Mus musculus: one gene and its partners. The protein of the gene in region 1 interacts with the protein of each later gene in a pairwise test. Links are inferred from orthologs where the notes say so. Each region holds a gene or a part of one and is shown in the gene's direction. Other genes may lie near its edges.

Evidence for each region.
Region 2: the proteins of Cbx5 (region 1) and Incenp interact in binary tests that used the Homo sapiens proteins (3 or more experiments, as listed by UniProt). The link is inferred for Mus musculus from reciprocal best matches to the Homo sapiens genes CBX5 and INCENP.
Region 3: the proteins of Cbx5 (region 1) and Prr14 interact in binary tests that used the Homo sapiens proteins (3 or more experiments, as listed by UniProt). The two-hybrid records come from large-scale screens. The link is inferred for Mus musculus from reciprocal best matches to the Homo sapiens genes CBX5 and PRR14.

What each region holds. Positions count from the first base shown.
Region 1 is NC_000081.6:103,237,482-103,241,233, reverse strand, and holds the start of Cbx5 (chromobox protein homolog 5), read left to right. Parts: upstream 1-1,381; 5' UTR 1,382-1,501; intron 1,502-3,752. Other genes in the region: Hnrnpa1 (heterogeneous nuclear ribonucleoprotein A1), read right to left, coding at 38-154, 706-720. UniProt on the Homo sapiens protein: Component of heterochromatin that recognizes and binds histone H3 tails methylated at 'Lys-9' (H3K9me), leading to epigenetic repression. In contrast, it is excluded from chromatin when 'Tyr-41' of histone H3 is phosphorylated (H3Y41ph).
Region 2 is NC_000085.6:9,896,664-9,900,415, reverse strand, and holds the start of Incenp (inner centromere protein), read left to right. Parts: upstream 1-926; 5' UTR 927-1,077; intron 1,078-3,752. UniProt on the Homo sapiens protein: Component of the chromosomal passenger complex (CPC), a complex that acts as a key regulator of mitosis.
Region 3 is NC_000073.6:127,474,510-127,477,306, forward strand, and holds the end of Prr14 (proline-rich protein 14), read left to right. Parts: intron 1-4; coding exon 5-210; intron 211-542; coding exon 543-1,116; intron 1,117-1,247; coding exon 1,248-1,317; intron 1,318-1,397; coding exon 1,398-1,489; intron 1,490-1,712; coding exon 1,713-1,784; intron 1,785-1,874; coding exon 1,875-2,151; 3' UTR 2,152-2,249; downstream 2,250-2,797. UniProt on the Homo sapiens protein: Functions in tethering peripheral heterochromatin to the nuclear lamina during interphase, possibly through the interaction with heterochromatin protein CBX5/HP1 alpha. Might play a role in reattaching heterochromatin to the nuclear lamina at mitotic exit.

The sequences.
Region 1 (3,752 bases):
ATAAGCCAGCTCTTCCTTTTGTTTCTTTTAATCTTACCACACAGTCTGTTAGTGTTCCCCATTGCTCAAAATGGCTCCTCAGACTCTCGTCGGTTGTTTCGAAGCTCAGCCCTCCGATGAAGAGCTTCCGCAGCTGTTCTGGCTCCTTGGGAGACTAAAGTGGAGGAGGGAGTGTTTAGCGGAGGGGCTGGAACCTGGGAAAATGAATCAACACCCCGCAACAACACATGCTACACTTTTTTATTGTTCTTTATTACTGCACGAGACCACGTGCTCCTTCCTAGGCTAGGAGGTGCTGCTGGGGATTCACTCGAGTTGCACGCAGCGCATGCGTCCTTACTTTTACTTCATACGCACGCGCAACAAAGGGCACAGGTTAGTCGGGTCCATCCCCATTAAGACTTAATATCTCTTTAACAAGCGATTGTTAGACCAGAATGGGGGAGGGGAAGAAAAGGCCACACTCCCCAGATCATTAGTCTGTGAAGTTTGCCACAAGGAACAGTGCATGGACGTTAATGGCGGTCGGATCGCAGCCTCATGGTGACTATGAGGACAAAATGGCGACCTGCATTTTTTTAAAGTAGGCCTCAGCACTAATCGATAAAACACCGAAACCACGGGTGCGAGCAGCAAAACACGTCACATCCCGCTATATTCAGTAAGTGTGGAAGAAAGAGAAGCTGCAAAGCGCATCCAACTTACCTCGGACTTAGACATGACGGTAGAGTTACGAGAGCCTTCAGCGATGCTTCCTCGGCAGCGTCAAAGAGCAGAAAGGAATACGATAACGAACGTGCCCGCCAGCCTACCTTCTGCTCGCCCTTTTATCCCGCCTCCTCGCTCTCGGTATTGGTAGACTCCGCCCTTACTTGAGTCTTATTGGAGATTTGAAATTATTCCCTCCCACCATTGGCCCGTGAAGACGCCCTGCTAAGAAACGGCATCCGTTTGGGCGTTCTATTCAGACTCCGCCCCTTTGAGTCACTGATGCCCCAAGGGATCTTATCCTTAATCGCATTGATTGGCTAACTAGCCAGTCACTTATATTTGAATGTATTCACGTCTTTTAAATGCCTTTCATAACTTTCCCACACCCGAACATTACAAACTCACTCGTCAAAGGACCGCACGCTACAAAGTAGCTCACCGCGACTTTTCCCAGCCACTCCCTATAAGGCGCATGTGTAATAAAAATGGCGAGTTCACGCCGGCGCACTACGATGTTCCGCCTGCTGCCTGGAACACGTGAAATGGCGGGCGGGAGAGGGTTGTGAACCTAGGCGCCTGCGTAGTGGCGGGACCAGCGTCCAGTTTTGCGCAGGCGTTTTGGGCGGAGAAAAGGTCCAAGCCCAGGATTGGTTGCGCAGGCGCAGGGAAGGATCCGTTTTGGCGGGCGGTTGGCATTGCGCAGAAGGCGGCGGTAGCGGTGGCTTGTGGTGCCGCTTTACCACAGAGGAACCGTGCAGGCCTTAGCGTGAGTGATCACTTTAGATCTTGGGTAAGTGGCAGAGTCTCGTCTACCCGTACGAGATCTTGAACCCGCTCCCATTGCACCGGTTATTGTACGAAATGAATGGACCGCTGAACTGGTGGGGGGGGGGGTGGACGACGACAGTGAAGGGGCCGCGACGGGTCGGGCCAGCCAATAGGACAACTGGGGCGGGATGTTTTATCCTTGCAGGTTCTGTGAAGCTGCCTTGCCGAAGCATTTGACTGGCGAGCCTATAGGCCAATTGGGTTTTCCTATAGCTGCCTACCGATCGGTCCTTGGGCCATCGGAATGTGGGAGGCGGGTTTTTCTCGCCTGAGTTGCGTCTCTCCGAGCCAATGAGCCCCAAGCGCGCGATTGGCCGGCCTTCCCCAAGAGGCAGAGGCTGGACTCCTGTGGGGAGCGCGGGAGTTGGCTGGTTAAATTCTTAGAGCAAGCCAGGAGTCACTAGAAAGACAGGATTCCCCCCTCCCCCCCCCAATAAAGCTTACTCTTGCATTTGTGGGGGCGAGTATTTTAACTTAAAATGACTCCTATAACTAAGGCATTCATTCTGTATATTACCTTAGGGAAAACATATGTTTTCTTGTGGCCCTTGAGTTAATCATTTTTCTTGTAGTTTTTGGTACGTTCCTCCCTTCACTTGAGACTTTGGAGAACGTGCCTTTAGTCTTTGAAAACTTTTAAGAGAAGAATATTGAAATTTTGAATGAGATGACTTAGGTAAAGTACTTGCAATGAAAAGCATCCAAGAAAAATAGACTTAACCACTAGCACCCATTTCCAGGGACACTGTATTTGTATTTCTATCTCTATGAAAGTTTTTGAGAGTTACATGTCAAAAGTCAAAACGTGTTGCTTCTATGGAAACAGTGGGGCCAAGGCCTGTATGTTTGAGGGATAATTGTCATTGATGAAATAATGAAAACCTTAATAAAAATAGACACATTTGGTTTTTTGTTTGTTTGTTTTGTGTCATCATGTACTTGTCACCACCATTCATGTTCCCAATTCTTTTATCTGAATCTCTTCTCCGAAGAACATTTTTCTCCCCTAACATTCAAGATACTCTAAGCTCCTATTTCTGCTGTTCATTTGAGGATGTCTGGTGTGGGGTGAAAAAGCTGATTCATTTAGGAGGTATTTAGGGTGTTGGGGACAGAAGACTCCACCATATCTTGAGTTGTTATTCATTGTTTTGATTCCATATATTTTTGTATTTTCTCTGCAATTTTGTTGGTGTTGATAATACCCACACTTCTCAGAGTATCTAGACAAATGTATAATTTCCATTTATTATCTGTGTCTGTTGATTTATTTATAGTCTTTGAGGTAGAGGTACCTCATTGTGATAAGAAAATTCCAGCCTGGCGTTAGTGGTCATTGCCTTTAATCCTAGCAGGAAGATGGATATCTGTTTGAGGCCAGCCTCCTGGTCCATGTAGTGAGTTACTTGACAGCCAAAGCATAATCAGACCCTGTCTCAAAAACGAAGAAAAGAAAGAAAAGAAGATAGTTTCATACTTTTTACAAAAGACTGATGATGCCGGGTGGTGGTGGTGCACGTCTTTGATCCCAGCACTCGGGAGGCAGAGGCAGGCGGATTTCTGAGTTTGAGGCCAGCCTGGTCTACAAAGTGAGTTCCAGGACAGCCAGGGCTACACAGAGAAACCCTGTCTCGGGGGGTGGGGGGGGGGGGACGGACGGACTGATGATTTCAATTTAGTTTTCTGTTTTATGTCTCAGGCTGGCCTCACATGAAGAGATCTACCTGTTGGTGCTATCATGCTTGACAGGTTTTTTTTTTTGTTGTTGTTGTTTTTTTTTTTTTTTTTTGGGTTTTTCGAGACAGGGTTTCTAAGTATAGCTCTGGCTGTCCTGGAACTCACTTTGTAGACCAGGCTGGCCTCGAACTCAGAAATCCACCTGCCTCTGCCTCCCAAGTGCTGGGACTAAAGGCGTGTACCACCACCGCCTGGCGCTTGACAGGTTTTAGTGATGTTTCTAATGAATAGAGATTTCCATAGTCACTGGCACTTTAAAAAGGACAAACATATTATACAACCATTAGCTGCTTATTTACACTAACAGTGCAACTTCAGTACTGAGCTCTAAAGTGATAGTGGACTCACGGCATCTACCTAGATATGGTTCAGAATATTTTTTTTTCCTTCCAGACATGGTTTCTCTGTGTAGCCCTCATTCTGTAGACCATGCTAGTCTTGAACTCAGAGATCCGCGAGCCGCTTGTTCTCGAGAG
Region 2 (3,752 bases), on another chromosome or scaffold:
GTCTCTGGTCTTTGTGCCTTCTCTTGGGGCTTTTTTTCTTTGTTTCATCCAATTCAGATATGATAGGTTTTGTATTATCTTATGTTTTACATCTTAGTTTATTATTATCCCTTAGAAGTCTGTTTTGAAAGGGAGTGGATACAGATGGAAGGGGAGGTTAGAACTGGGAGGAGCAGAGGGAGGGGAACTGTATCAGGATATAGTATGTGAGTAAAGAAATCTATTTTCAATAAAAGGAAAAACAATTTAAAAATAAATAAAACCCCTCTGTTTAATCTGTCCAGGGACATTTGTAGTTTCGCCCACCTCTTGGCTACTGAGAATGATTCTATAAAGAAGGTGGAGGTGTTTTATTTTACAGGTGGTGGTGACACACCTTCAACTCAAGACTTTACCTTTATATGTGGCCAGAAAAATTCTCCGTTGTATGTGGCGTCCAATCTGGAGGGTACTTAGCAAACACTTCCGGGTGACAATCGGAGGTCTAAGGAAACATTCTGTAACTATATGCCTGACTGCTCTTGGAGGGAAGGCTCTGTGAGATTTGCAATGTGTTTCTTTTTACTACTGCAAAGTAGCAGAGCTGTCATTCCGAACGCAGAAGCATTCCGGACTTGAAACGAACCAAGCGGCTGGCTCGAAGATAAATAGGCATCCTCCCCAACCAAGCCTGCCTTCGCAGTGCACGCAGGGACTTGTAATTCGTCGCAACCACTTCCTCGCCGGGTAGATTGCCGCAGCTTCCGGAAGTTGGGGCGTGTTAAAAGCGTCAACGTTCTTCTCCCCGCCTCCTAGTCCCACAGATTGACAGCACTAACAGCCAGCAGATAAGCGGACTCGTGCGTCCTGTTACGTGATTGGTTTGGAGTTTTGTAACCGCCCAGACAAACTTAAGGGGAATTGGTTGAGCCACAATTTTGAAAATCGTAGATTCGCCCGCGCTCTTCGCCCGGTAGGTCCTCGCCTGCGGCGAGCTCGCGGTACTGGGAGTCCAGCCGGTCCGGCGTGGCGGGAAGCTTAATCTGCGGAAGCCGCGGACTGGAAAAGGAGTGGTCCGGGAAGACGCGGCGCCGCCGGGTGAGTGAGAACGGGCGTCGGGAGTCGCAGGGTCGCGGTGTTCGGCCACTGGTCCCGGCCTCTTCGCTTCCCAGGATGGGCCAGGGGAGTCACTTTCGCCTATGGGTTGCTTATGGGTGTGGGGATCACTTCCAATGGTTCTAGGCTTGGAGATGAACTTCGAGGCCCTGCACTTGAGTCCTGGGATCCGAGAATGGTCAGTCCTCTTCCCCGCACGCCGGGCCTAACACCTGTGCAGAGCCTGGGCTGCTCTGTAAACCCGGACTTGAGTCTTTTTATGGCAACGGCTGCTCAGCTTCGTCCCAGCTGAGCAGCATTTAAAAACTGACCCAGCTCCGGAGACCGCCCTGCTACTTATTTTGTCATCCCCGCAAGCGTAGGCTCTTGTCAGCGGCGCAGTTCCCTCCAGCTTCCTGCTGCCAAGCGTTGGGATTGTGTCATTCTGAGCTTGAAACTATTGTCCTGGAGGCCTGTGGCTAGTGGTTAAAAAACATTTTAAATCCAGGCTCCGCCCTCCGATTTTCTTGGTGACTTTGACCTAGATTTGTATGTGCATGGGTATCTTGGAGTATGTGGCAAAAAGGAATTGAGAGGTTTCTTGGCATGGAGTAGGACTCTTGAGTGGAAGAGCAGTTTTAGCGATCGATCTTCCTGCTTGGAGGGGTGTGTGTGGGGAGAAATGCTTAGTTCATTTCCTGCACCCCCAGAGGAGATGGCAATTGCTAATCTGCTGAATGGCACAGAAATAGTATTTGTGGAGAGGAAGTGACCTTCCTTCTCCCATGGTAGGGTTTGTTTATTTCGTGGACTGAAGGTGAAGTTACCCAGGAGTCTGATTCTTGTTACACCTCCTCCTTTCCTCAGAGTCACCTTTTCTAACTTTTCAGCGAGGGCTTGCTAGAAAGCACATTTCCCCATGGAAGAAGAAGTGTGGTATTGGACTTGGTGAAAGAAGCGCTCACTCCGATTGTAGCATGAGCAGACATTTTGTAAAATTTCCCATTTGTTACTTTCTTATAGCTCCTCTGCAAGTCTTTGGAGTCCTTGTGCAGTTTTCTCTTCTCTTTGCTGGCCTTGAACTGATGAGGCCTTGGACTTGGCTAGGGCTGTTTTCTGGTGCAGGGGGATAGGGAGACTCAGTGGAGAGGCCATGCTGATGAGTAGCTGGCTGCACAGTTAATGCTTTTTCCTAAAGGCTCAGTGCCCCTATCCATTCGGTTTTGCCCCAGTTAGTGCTGCCTTTGGCCGTTAGGTCAGGGTGTGTTTTGGCCTGTTCTAACATGTGCCTACTGAGTTGCTCACTGAGTGTCCCAGTGTGTGATGGTGAGACAACCTTTAGGATTAGTTGATGGATGAATGAATTCATTCCACAAGTGCCAGACTCTTTTGTTGCTGAGGAAGGCACAAGGCTTACCCTCAGAGAGCAGGTTAGTGGGTAGAGGCCAGCAGTAGGCAAACATAAACAATCACTCATTTGCTGTGCACATAGCTGGAATCTGTGTGTGAGATCTTGGCTTGGATTGGAGGTCTGATCCTCCTTAAGGAGCTGAAAGCTAAGTGAAGAAGCTGTACAAAACAGGAGACAGAGTTCCTAGAGGCCAGAACTTGTTTGAAGGGCAAAAGGGTAGTGTGCCTCATACATCAGGCTGAAGAACTTCAAGGAAGAACCTAGAGGCCACAGTATATGATGGCATTATGTTCCAAGAGGATCAGTAATATAGCCCTTTCTTCCCTGACCTTTTTCTGTAGCTGAGAGGCTGAAGTGTGTATGCATGCTTCTTGCTTTTGAAAGTGTAAGTCATGGTGGGAACTTCCTGTCCTTATATAAGGTGGGATCCGATATATTAGTGCTCATAGCTGCCACCCACTCTTGATCTTTCATGTGTTTACCACTTGGGGTACTGCTTATCGGGGGCCCTGATATGACAGTATCAGAATCCTCCCACTTAGTGTAGGACCTTTGTTAGGATTATATAGTCAGGTCGTACGGCAGATATCCAAGCTCCCAGCTTTTTAAGGCAGTGGGTAAACTGGCACTGCATTGTCTTTTGCCTGGTATTGACAGCCAGGTCTTCCTGAAAGCAGCACATTGCATGCGCACTCACTTCGCTCTCCCTCATCCATTCATAGGACATTTTGGCTTTAGGGAGGGTTTCAGAGGTCTCTTTGGAGAACATGGTTCTGGACCCCTCATTTCTTATGCATTCCTGTGGAATGTATAGCACATTTCCATCTACTGACTCCCCCCCCCCCGCCCCCAAATTAAAGACAGGGTCTCATGTAGTCTAGGTTGGCCTTAAACTTGCTATGTAGCTAGGCATAACCTTGAAATGATCCTCCTGAATTTCTCAAATGTTTGGGACCATAGAACGAACTATGCTCAGCTCTAGTGTCTATTTACTTGTTTACTTGTATAGTGTGTGTGTGTGTATATATATATATATATGAACATGTTGTGTGACAAAGCTTTACCTGGGGAGATGCAACACACACTCCGTTTACCCCTAGATAGGAACCCACAGTAGACCAAAGTATGGATACCCACCACCAAAGTCCAACTTTGTGAACCAGTGAAATGTTTTTTGTTACTTACAGTAGTATCAGTGAGGGGTTACAGGATGAAGGGCAAAGGTAGTATGCCCCACAAATCAGGCTGAAGAACGTCAGGGAAGACC
Region 3 (2,797 bases), on another chromosome or scaffold:
ACAGCACCTTCAGAAGCCTGAAGGGCCCGGGGAAGCACTGCCACAGAAGGGGTCTGGACTTGGAAGCACGCCCAACTCTTACTTTGTCCCTTCACCCGAGAGCTGAGCCTGTGACAAAAGCTGGTCAGCCAATGCCTACACCCAGTGACCTAGAACCCCCATTCCAACTGTCTACTCTACCTGCAGATCCTCCAGAGAGTCCAGTACCAGGTAAGGACTCAAATAGAGGAATGAGACTGAAGAATTTGGAACTGCCACGGTTAAGCTTGAAACAGGAGGAGCAGAACTGTGGGTGGAGCTTAGCCGGCTCCCTTGGCAGAGCAGGCTGTGTAACAATGGGATTTAGGCTCAAGGAGTTGAGCAGTTATGGCCTTGCTTTGCAGTACTGGGGATCAAATCCAGGGCTTATGGCATTAGGCAATCCTATTACAGCATTTTAGGAGCAGGCTCACTCCTCTAGAGACAGATTAGTGTTTGGAGGAAGAAACTGAGGCTTCTGAGGTAATGTTTTAGTCACCTGAGCGTCCTTTCTCCAACTGCAGATCCTGCTCTGGAGACCCCGGTGATTCCAACATCGTCAAGCCTTTTACGACCCCGTCTCAGTCCCTGGGGCTTGGCCCCTCTCTTCCGTTCCGTCCGATCAAAGCTTGAAAGCTTTGCTGATATCTTCTTCACACCTAACAAAACACCACAGCCTCCACCCCCTTCACCTCCCATGAAATTAGAATTGAAGATTGCCATCTCGGAGGCTGAGCAGTCCAGGGCTACTGAGAAAATTACATCTGTCAGCCCCAGGCCCCCTATCCGCCAGTGGCGGACTCAGTGCAATTCCCTAGCACCTGTCTCTAAGTCATCTCTGGGACGAAGCTACTCCTGCCCTGATCTAGGGCCCCCTGACCCAGGTAGCTGGCCTCCTGTCCCATCCCAGCCAAGCCAGTCCAGGCCCCGGAGACATACTGTGGGTTGTGGGGAGATGGCCCGGACCCCACCACCTCCTCGACCCTGTCTCCGGAAAGAGGTCTTCCCTCTTGGAGGAGTGGGAGTCTCTCCTTCTCTCACTACATCTTGCTCAGCCAATGCCCCTGCTTCCTTCTTCTGCGAGCCGGCAGAACCCAGGTAGTGCTCTCACTCCCCCTCTGGAACTCTGGCCTCAGCCTGAGCCTTGCCTCCCTTGCTTAGTATTCACTGGCAGAAGACGAGTGCATTGCTGTGTATGCCCTTGTCCTGACTGTTGACCATCTCTGCAGGTTGGGTTCAACGAAGGGGAAGGAGTTAAGAGCCTCAAAAGACAAGGTGTTTTCTGATCCAGAGACCAAGGTAATGAGTGAGTATAAAGACAGGAGCCAGCCAAGGCCTGAGCCCAAGCCTTTCTTTCACCCTCTGCCCATTTTTTGCAGACCATGGGGAAGGTTTCTAGATTCAGAATACGGAGGACACCTGTCCGTCTCCAACCAAACCTTACACCAATGGGGCTGCCTCGACCAATCAGGTAAGAGGCTCAGAGAGCAGGGAGCTACCTTGACCAAGTAGGTGACAGTCCTAGTCCTCTCAGGGAGCATAGGAACCTGGGACATTACATTTGGCATGGACATGGCGTGTGCATAGAATCTCCTCACCTATCACTTCTGACTCTCACCTGGCCCAGAAACCAAAATTCCCATCAGCATCAGGCTTTGCCCATATCTTCAGTGCCCTCTGCTCTTTGTTTCCAGGTTGAATAAGAAGGAGTTCACTTTGGAAGAAATTTATACAAATAAGAACTACCAATCACCCACAACCAGAAGGTGAGAAACTTGGAAGGTCTGAGGGCAGTAGAGGGCTGTTTGAACCAGGGAGAATCCTGGTAAAGATCTCTTGCTCCCTGCCTGACCCAGGACCTTTGAGACCATCTTTGAGGAACCACGGGAGCGCAATGGAACTCTGATTTTTACCAGCTCTAGGAAGCTCCGAAGGGCAGTAGAATTTCGGGACAGTAGCCTTCCTCGATCCCGGCGACCATCACGAGGGGTCCGCACCGCAGCAAGCAGAACCCTTACTCCCAACCTGGCACCCAGCCAGGATGTGGGGTCTCTACTGCAAGAAAGGCTGAGGGAGCTAGATGCCTTGCTCCTGGAGGAGGAGACAGATAAGGAACACCCTTGTCACCTCTAGGAGCTCCAACTATTTGTCCATCCGTCCTTTAGGTAGGGGAGAAATCTCTGAATCAATTGTATTTTTTTTCTCTATATTTCTATAAAGTTTTCAATATATGTTTCTGACTCCTTTGTGCCTCCAGCAGAGTTTGAAATCAATTAATTAAATGAGCTGATGTTTTTATGTTGGTCACCAAAGGACTAGAAAACAGGAGATAGTAGCAGAGAAAAAAAGGGTTGCAAAAAAAAAAGAAAAAATGCAGTGGTCACTGGAAATTGCCCACCCCACTCTCATCCACTGGCAGGGCTGGGGGATCAAACCTAGAATCTTGTATATACTACCTCTGAGCTCCATCCCCAGTCCAGAGATGACACTTGAGAGCTGCTTTATGTGGTGCTATGTATACCATGGATACACAACTCTTACATCATAGAATGAAAAGGCCTTGGAACAGGTTAAGGCCTTGAAGATGTTATTTACTCCTCCCAAATGCTGCCATCGCCAACTTAGGACAATCTATCATAGAGAGTCGACCGGCACAAAGTCTGTTAGGGAATTTATCACTATTTTATATCGACAAGAAAACAAGGGTTGTCAAGGAAATGTCCACATTAAAAGAACAGCCAGGGCCAGTGAGATGGCTCCACTGAAAAAGCGCTTGGTA